Linked DNA regions of Drosophila melanogaster. The protein of the gene in region 1 purifies or fractionates together with the protein of each later gene. This does not show direct contact. Each region holds a gene or a part of one and is shown on either strand. Other genes may lie near its edges.

The links.
Region 2: the proteins of CG2493 (region 1) and CG10916 purify together in Drosophila melanogaster (affinity purification with mass spectrometry, with the first as the bait; one large-scale study listed by BioGRID). This does not show direct contact.

The regions. Positions count from the first base shown.
Region 1 is NT_033779.5:20,461,085-20,465,468, reverse strand, and holds CG2493 (uncharacterized protein), read left to right. Parts: upstream 1-2,024; 5' UTR 2,025-2,098; coding exon 2,099-3,526; 3' UTR 3,527-3,884; downstream 3,885-4,384. Other genes in the region: Cdc23 (cell division cycle 23), read right to left, coding at 3,897-4,358.
Region 2 is NT_033778.4:18,171,797-18,176,523, reverse strand, and holds CG10916 (uncharacterized protein), read right to left. Parts: upstream 2,856-4,727; 5' UTR 2,715-2,855; coding exon 1,923-2,714; 3' UTR 799-1,922; downstream 1-798. Other genes in the region: CG5726 (uncharacterized protein), read left to right, coding at 1-444.

The DNA.
Region 1 (4,384 bases):
GCTAATTAGTCGAACAACTAGAGAGCCACAATGATTATTGTTTCTTCTTTTGACATTAGCACACGCAAAAAGCGGGAGAATGAAATCAATTAGGCGAGCCAGCGCACAGGATGGAAAATAATCTGGCCACGAGTCCGGCGATGATTATTGTGATGGATATTTCATGTGACACCAGCGGCACCGGCGGAGTGACCTCATTGCATTGGCTGACATTTCTGATGCTGCTGCTTTGTTTCCGTTTCCGCTGGGCCCGTTTTGACAGCTGCGCACGGACCACCCACCACATTCGCCCACTCGAAATTCAATTTTCCGCCGTTTTTATGATAATTTATAGGGCTTATTAATTTATGTGCAAAACTCGCGGGACCGAATGAATTGATTTGTGTCCGCGCATAAATGTGCCATTTCGCATTAGGCACATTTACCCAATTCATTACACTAAATTGTCACAGTATTTTCTAAGATAAGTAATTTACATGCATTGTGAGCCGATCGGAGAAACTGAACTGAAGCACCAAGAAAGAATCGTGTGGCAAAGCCAGCGAGGTAACCTCTTACCATATGCCAATTATGTTGCCCCAATATTATGCCATTGGATACACTTGAGTAGCTACCCCTGCAAAAAATGCCTATCTAAAGACATATTTGACTATGTATAATATGTGGGATTGATCAGGCGGAACGACACGAAATTTATATGATAGATGCCAACGGTTGACATTATACAGGGATTTTCAAGAAACAAAATATTGTCAAACATCATTTTAAAATATTTTAACTGTGTTATATTTAGTACTACAAAATGAACTTTAATTTTTCTAGTGCGTATATTTACATCATTTCGACACATGAACTTTACATTTGCCCGTGTTTTTTACATTCTCGGTATTTTACTCTCAATCCCGTTCATGTGCCTTTAACGCCATCTGGCGTTTGTTGCCACAATCAGTTCAGAAGTGGGAAATTTATTTCAAAAAATGTGTTTGTAATTGCTGTAATTAAATGTTAAAACGAAAAAATAAAACAATTTTTTAATATATTTATATATATAGGGTACAGCTTTCAGGGTCGGAATAGCAAGGCGAATTGAAAAACTGTTATGGCTATTCTATCCTTTGGGCTATTCTATTCCAGATAGAAATAAATACAAAGATCCGATTAAAAGAGTGTCCGCTAAATACCAAAGTCGTTGTGGTAAAATATTTAGCAACAGATAAAGTTACTTTATAGTTACACTGTTCAATGATTGCAAAATATTGGCCACTCATCGAAGTGTTTACTTTTGAGAAGGAAAGTGTCCTCGAAGAAATCATTAGAGCACTTTTGGAAGCAAGATTTTCATCTAGGCACCGAAGATATTCAAATGCATTATGTTCATATTACTTTAGAACGACCCGATAGCTTGGCAGAAGGACATGTTCTTCAATGAACGTTTTAAATTATCCAACTTTCAAATCCAACAGACATAATGAAAATTTAAATAAAATACTAAACATATATGTTTATTTCATATTATGATTTTTACGGATTACGAGGCCTCATGAAATATTTTATTTTATCACTATAAATATTATTTTTAATAATTTTCCGACTTACTCACTACTCATTTTTAAATGCATGGCGAAATCGAACTCAAATCAAATCAAAATAGGGGGAAATGACAGGTGCTTTGCTGAAAATTATCGAGAGTTGAGTGCAGTGTTGGTAAGTACTTATTTGAAGAAGCTTAATGGGCATCGGTTTGTGTTTTTTAAACTTTTGGCGATTAAAAAGAAGGTTTTAAATATAAGACGTTGTTAAGATGATTCGGCACACTAAGATCAAAACAATGTTTGTTTTCTAACAAGATATGATGAGTTCAAATGAATCTCCACTTAATTCTTCATTACCCTTTACCAAATGAGTGGTAAATGTAAAATGCGTAGTTTTATTAACAATATGTATCCGATTTTGAAATGCAAGTTATCTTTTTTTTTTTTGAGTGCTTTAGAACCGCTCCAAAAATCACGTCTCGCGATCTGGTAACACTGCACAAAGTGTAATATAAAGCCCGGCTTGCAGATAACGAACTGAAAATTGTGCAAACCACAGAGGTCATATGATTCTTCGCGATATGGGAGAAGCCACAGTGAGAGCTGCACTGTTAGCGGTTTTGGGAATCCTGCTGATCGCGGGCTGTGATTGCAGCCAGCGGTTCAAGTACGAGATCAAGGAGTTCCAGGTGCCGCTGGACCATTTCAGCTTCCTGATCAACGCCACCTTCAACATCCGGTACTTGTACAACGACTCGTTCGTGGACAAGAGCAATGCCCGCACCCCGATTTTCTTCTACACGGGCAACGAGGGGGACATCGAACTCTTCGCCCAGAATACCGGATTCCTGTGGGAGCAGGCGGAACGACAGCGGGCTCTGGTGATCTTTGCGGAGCATCGTTACTATGGAAAGTCATTGCCCTTCGGTAGCTCCACGTTCAACACCAGCCTGCCGGAGCACTTGGCTTACTTCACAGTGGAGCAGACGCTCGAGGACTACGCCATGCTGATCACGTTCCTGCGGAACGATCGCCAGATGCCCGTGGTGGCCTTCGGGGGCTCCTATGGCGGAATGCTGGCCGCCTGGTTCCGGATGAAGTATCCGCATTTGGTCAACGGAGCCCTGGCAGCCTCGGCGCCCGTTCTGCAGTTCCCCGGGATAACCGATTGCGACATCTTCTACAGGATTGTGACATCGGTGTTCCAGAATGCCTACAACGAAAACTGCACCTTGAATATTGCCAAGTCGTGGAAACTCTTCGAGACTCTGGGCGCCAGCGAGGCCGGCAAGAAGCAGATATCGGATGCATTCCACCTATGCAATGCCCTGAAGAACGACGACGATCTGAAGAAGTTCCTGGACTACGTGGAGGAGGTGTACAGCAATCTCGCCATGGTCAATTACCCGTACAACAGCAGTTTCCTGGCCCCATTACCTGCCTATCCCGTGAGGCAGGTGTGCTACTACCTGAAGGAGCTGCATTCCACCGACGCCGATTTGCTGCACGCCATGTCCAGCGCTTTGGCTGTCTACACCAACTACACACAGTCCGCCAAGTGCCTCGATATATCCGTCAACTCCAACGCCGATGACTCCGGTTGGAATATCCAGAGCTGCAACCAGATGGTGATGCCCATCTGCTCCAATGGCTCCGAAACCATGTTCCGCACGTCCAGCTGGAACTTCAAGGATTACGCGGAAAAGTGCTACAAGAACTACCGTCTCACCCCCAAGCCATACGACATCATTCTGCGCTATGGCGGCAGAAACCTGGAGGCTGCGACCAACATCATCTTCAGCAACGGTCTTCTGGATCCCTGGAGCGGTGGCGGTGTGCTTCAGGCTCCCAACGACAAGGTCTTCGTCATCATCCTGCCCGAGGGAGCCCATCACTTGGACTTGCGCCACAGCGATCCGGCCGATCCACCTTCTGTGCGCGATGCCCGCGATAAGGAAGCAGCCATCATAGCACGATGGATCCAAGATTTCTGAAGCGAGATTACTTTTACCCATACTGAATCGCTCCACTATGGGGATTCATATTATATAACAGCCGAGCAAGGCCAGATTAATCAAATATTTGGTATTCTTAAACCAAGGAACAAATTATGAAACACTCAGTTTAAGATCACAAAAATTATAAGCCATACTAAAGTTTTTTGAATTGAAGATCCTGTTTGCACATTCGATTAATATGGAGTATTTAGTAGTTTTGTGAAATACTATATTTTCATTAACTATGATGGAGAAGGATGACGTTTTGGACCTGGCAATGGTGAATAGGACTAGTTCATTATTTACTTGGATTGCCAATATAATTCATAAAAACAAATAGAAATTTATACAATTGGAACGCATTTGACTAATCGATGGATACGCTGGATATTTCCATGGAGCTGTTATCATCCGAGGGCGCCTGCTCGGGCGGATTCGAAGGGCCACCGGATGTGCCAGGCGTTTCCTCGGTGGACATTGTGACAGCAGTTGCCGATGGCGTGGTGGTGGTGCCGCTGGCAGGCGCGGTTAAGCTAGTCCTGCTCGACTGGGATCGACGCATGCCCTGAATCAGGTTTCGGTCCGGACGCAAGCTGATCAGGGAGCTACTCGAGGCGCTCTCCGCAGCTACGGTGGTCGTGGAGGTAGTCGTGGTGGCTATGGATGTGATGGGAACTCGAACTCGCACATCCTGGAGCTCCCACTCCATCTCGTCCTCGGAACTGGTATCTGCATTCGCCACGGCCGTCGAAGTTTTTACCTTCTTCTGTCCCTCAGCATTGCGCTTCCAGTCAATCGTCTTCAGCAGCGCCTTTGCCTCCATTTTGCGCTAAAAAGATTGAGTGTTTTCGTTAA
Region 2 (4,727 bases), on another chromosome or scaffold:
TACCAAGACGAGAACTGTGCGTACAACTCGAATGGTCCGGAATCGAATAGTCGCAGCTCATCCAGGGCTCGCACTCTGCCGAGACCGCCAAAATCGCAAATGGATAAATCAGGCGGCTATAGGTACAATCAGAGCCCCACGCATGCAGGCGGTGGTCCTCGATTCCCGCGTTACAGCAGCCAAAGCAGTTTGGCCAGCGAAGCGTCCAGCTCGTTTGATCGTCGCCAACAGACATCGCCACAAAATCCACATCAGCATCAGCACCAGCGGCACCGCCATTTCACACGCCGCTCCCAGCCAGACATCCATCAGCCGCAGAACGAGGAGAACTGGCAGGGGCAGGCGGATAAGGGCCAACCACCATCCGGAAAGGAGGAAAGCGAGCTGGTGCGGAATGCCCAGCAGACCACTCAGTACATGAACTATTTGTCGGCCCAGAAATGAGTTTATACACTTTACGAAGTCATCCACATGTACGAAAATTGTTTTTGAAGTCCGTTTAGAAGTTATTTGTTTCGCCTTCGTATATGTTTCCTAATGGATGTGTATATCCACGTAGACTGTTTTCACATTATTTTGTCTTCAACTGAGCTCAAATGTTAAACCAATACAAAACAATTTAGACCAATCACAAAACAAATCCATCTCAAATCCAGGCTTAAAGAATATTAAGCATGCATGCATTACACATTGGAGCCACTAAATTTGTAAATACCAATTATATATATATGAATGTCTTGTGTAGTCCCACACAACCACGCCACATAAACACTCCCACACAAAATACAGTCACACACACTCATTTTTATATTTATATATACAAATTGCTTAGAAACTAAGTACAAAGTCAATGAAAAAACAAAAATAATCCTATTTCTATTGAAAAGTAAAACGCCTGTTGGTGAAATGTTAAAAGCATGTTGAACATATAAAAATTTGTATTTTTAGCTAAATATATACTTATATATTAAATGTCATGTTATAGTGCAGGTTCAGCCGATTTATTAAACGAATTATACAAGCTTACGTATTTTTAAAGCAAATTTTGTGAGGCCCTCTGTTGGAACAACAAAGCCAAGCCGGAGTGCAGAGAAAAACATGAATTGTAGAGTTATACGAGTAGTCTTATATAGATACTTAAACCTCTTTGTTTAGGTATAATCAATATGTTCGCAACATGCGTAGGTTCAAAACACTAATCAGCATATAAATAGCGTCTAACACATTTTTAATAAAACAAAAAAATTGCATTATCATTAATCAAACATTAAAACAAATTCTTTTGAAAACTTTTGAAATCACCAGCAGAATGTCATAGTCTTACCTCCGTATTTACATCACCTGATTGGATGAATGTATTTTCCGAATCCTTGTGGGTGACTCCCCTCGTCTTCTGCGTTTCCACTTTCCAGAACTTCTGTGGGCAACTCTCGGTTGTGCATACTTTACAAAAGCGATAGTAAGAAAGCTTTAAGACCGCAGTTTTTATTAATCTTGCCATTTTGAAGACAGTTGGTCCGTTTTAGATACAATATACAAAAAACCAAGATTTCCGTTTATCGTAGGCATTGATCAAGTCAAGGTCAAAATATTTTTAAACCCGTGTCTAGTCACAAACATCTTCACTTTCCAAACTATTATAAAGAATTGCATACTTGAGGGCAGCAAATAGCAGACTAACTTATACATATGTATATGGGGACTTTTATTTGTACATAATTTGCTGGCAGTCAAAACAAAGTTATCAATTTTTCGCTTGATTAAAGAAATTGGGGACAAATCTTGGCTTACTGATAAGCGAATTTAAAACAAGTACAGAAATAATAGATCCGATTTTTTTCAAAAATAGAATAAGACGTACATATGTATTTATAACACAGATTCATACAATAAGGCATAAGAGATTTAAGATATCAGCAGCATCATCGATCTGCCTGGTCACGTGGGGTGACCACCAGGACTTCGTAGGTGTTTACGCTCACCTCTTGACCATGATGCGGGATGTACATGACCTTGTGGGAAGGATGCACCTTGCCCAGACGCAGGATACCCTGGTAAAGACCACGACCCGTGTAGGTGACCTCACCCAGCTCGGAGTAGCCCGTGTTCAGAGCATCCCGCGGATATGTTCCATGCTGTCCGGGCACCCACTTGTAGTCACAGTCGTTGAGCACCAGGATCTCGACATCATCGGTCAGAGTTCGGGCGCTACAGCTGTGCGAACCGAAGGCAGCCTTCTTTTCCGGTACATAAGGAGCAGGCAGGAGATCGTCGTGGTAATATCCTCTGGCCACATACGTGGGCAGTCCGTCTTCGTTGGTGCCACACTGCACAGCTCCCTCGGGCGGCAGGTGGGCATCCGGTAAGCTGTCTCTGTCCAGATCAATGGGCACCCAATCCATGGCCACCTTGGGCAATTCGGTGTCATCGAACTCCGGGGCCTCGGCGAAGTTTAGGTACAATCGGTGCACGCGTCGTCGGTCGCATGGGTCTCTGCATTGGGGGCAGGTCCTGGACCTATTCAGCCATCGGGTGAGGCAGTCCTTGTGGAATACATGACCGCACCGTGAAGTTGAGAAAATTATGTCGTTGGCCCGGAAAAACTCGTTGCAAATTGCACATAAAATGTTCAGTGAAGGTGATGAGTCATTTGTGGGTGCAGTTTCTGCGATTTTTCCGCCGTTACCTTCCATTTCACTACTATTACTCTCCATAACTACGTCCCTATGGATACTGAGCTTTGAATATGTGTGGCTCTATTCTTCTGTTCCAAATTTATTTCACAACAATGAGCGGAAAACGAAACGATTCGTATCAACTTTCCTGCTTTATTAGAGATGACCTCTGGAGAATACCAAATATACTAGAAATACTGTTATTTTAATAAGTTTGAATCTTGATTGAAAATAATCCTTTAAATATCTTATAGCATTAAGTAAGTAACATTTATATTAAGTAACATTTATATTAGCGTCTTAATCATAACTCTATTTTGGCTAAGATAATGTACTGTGCTATCATTTTGTGGTTATCTACTGGATCTTTACTTTGTATTAAAGTAGCGTTTCAAACCTGCACCAGTACTTCGTTGGTGCCAACGTTAACCTCTTGACCGTGCTGCGGGATGTACATGACCTTATGGGAAGAATGTACCTTGCCCAGACGCATGATGTCCGTCCTCGTTAGTGCCGCACTGCACTGCTTCCTCGGGCGGCAGGTGGGCATCCGATAAGCTGTCTCTGTCCAGATTCATGAGCAGAGGGTGCTCGGGAAAATCCCTGTTATTCTTGTGAGTCAGAGGACAGGCTTTTAACCGGGTACTTCTGCGAACAAGTTCGTCGTGAATGCACCTGTGGCCCATTGTCTGTTCGGGAATTAGTTTCCGAATCCGGTATGGCGATGGGTCATTTGTGGGTGCTTCTCAATTTTCCATTTCTTTGCTGTTACCATCCATATCTGAATCCCTTTACACACTGAGCTTTAAATACGTATGGCGCACTTGTTTTATTTTAAAATTAACGGATACGAGCTTTATAGAGATGGACTTTAAGTAGTGCCAGAAATACTGTTATTTTTATATTTCGTAAGTTTACATGGATCTCAAACGCTTATAACATTTAATTTCAAACTTTTTGCTAATATTTAGGTCTCAAGGTTTCAGAACAATTTTGTTTTATTTTGTTATAGATTTTTACTAAATAGACTAATTAAAGTGTATGCCAGTTGTTAAACAAATGTATTTCATAATCAGGAAGTCAAATATGTAATGTATATATATAATAAATTTGGATTTTATAGCTAAAAACTAATAAAAGGTTCACCTGTGCTCAATAATAGTTTCAAATACTGTTCAGGTCATTTTTAACACAAGAATTTATAAATATTTAAAATTAGCTATCGATAAGTGGCACCAGGTACTTACGATACTCAACCGATCTGGCAACGACGCGCGGTACGTGGCTTCGGGACACGGAAAACAATTTTACGGGAAAAGCTAAACAAATTATGTACAATTCGCAATAAATCCGAAAAGATATAGGGACAAACACCAGACGGAGAAGAGGAGCACAAAAGGCTGCATGAACTGTAAGTGCCAAGGACCAGATACCCGTTTCTTTTTCTGCGTTCACCCGTATCCTTTCACTTTTAATTGCTAAGTTCAACATACAACTACAAATGGATATTCAGCTGATTTACAGCTAGTGCGGTTTCTCAATGGCTCAAATTATGTTTCCCAAACTTGCCGCCACTCCAATGGAAACAAGTTAATGTGCGCATAATATGCAAATTTTCTGTTTGTTTTGGTTTGCCAAAATACAAACAATACATACATATGTACGCAAGTACATAGTACATATCTATGTTTGGCACACACACTGACGCATTAACTGCGCTCTTTGTTTGCCGCCTATAAATAAACGCCAAAAAATGCGTACGAGATTATGCCATTTGTTGCTTTTCAGCTGTGCTTTGCGTACGTCAACAAAGCTTTATTATATAAACAAATACAAAACGGCAATCAGCTGTTTCTAACAAAAAATAAACGGTTGAATAGCCTTGTCATTATCATTGTTTATTGTGCTTTGCCATAGATATATGTATGTATGTACAATGGCCATTTCACTATTAAACGAAATTATTAGAACGGCTAATTAAACTCTCTATCTTTGGCTCTCTTGTGTCTTCTTCCAAGCCCCTCTTTTGAGATATGCACATAATTGACGCAA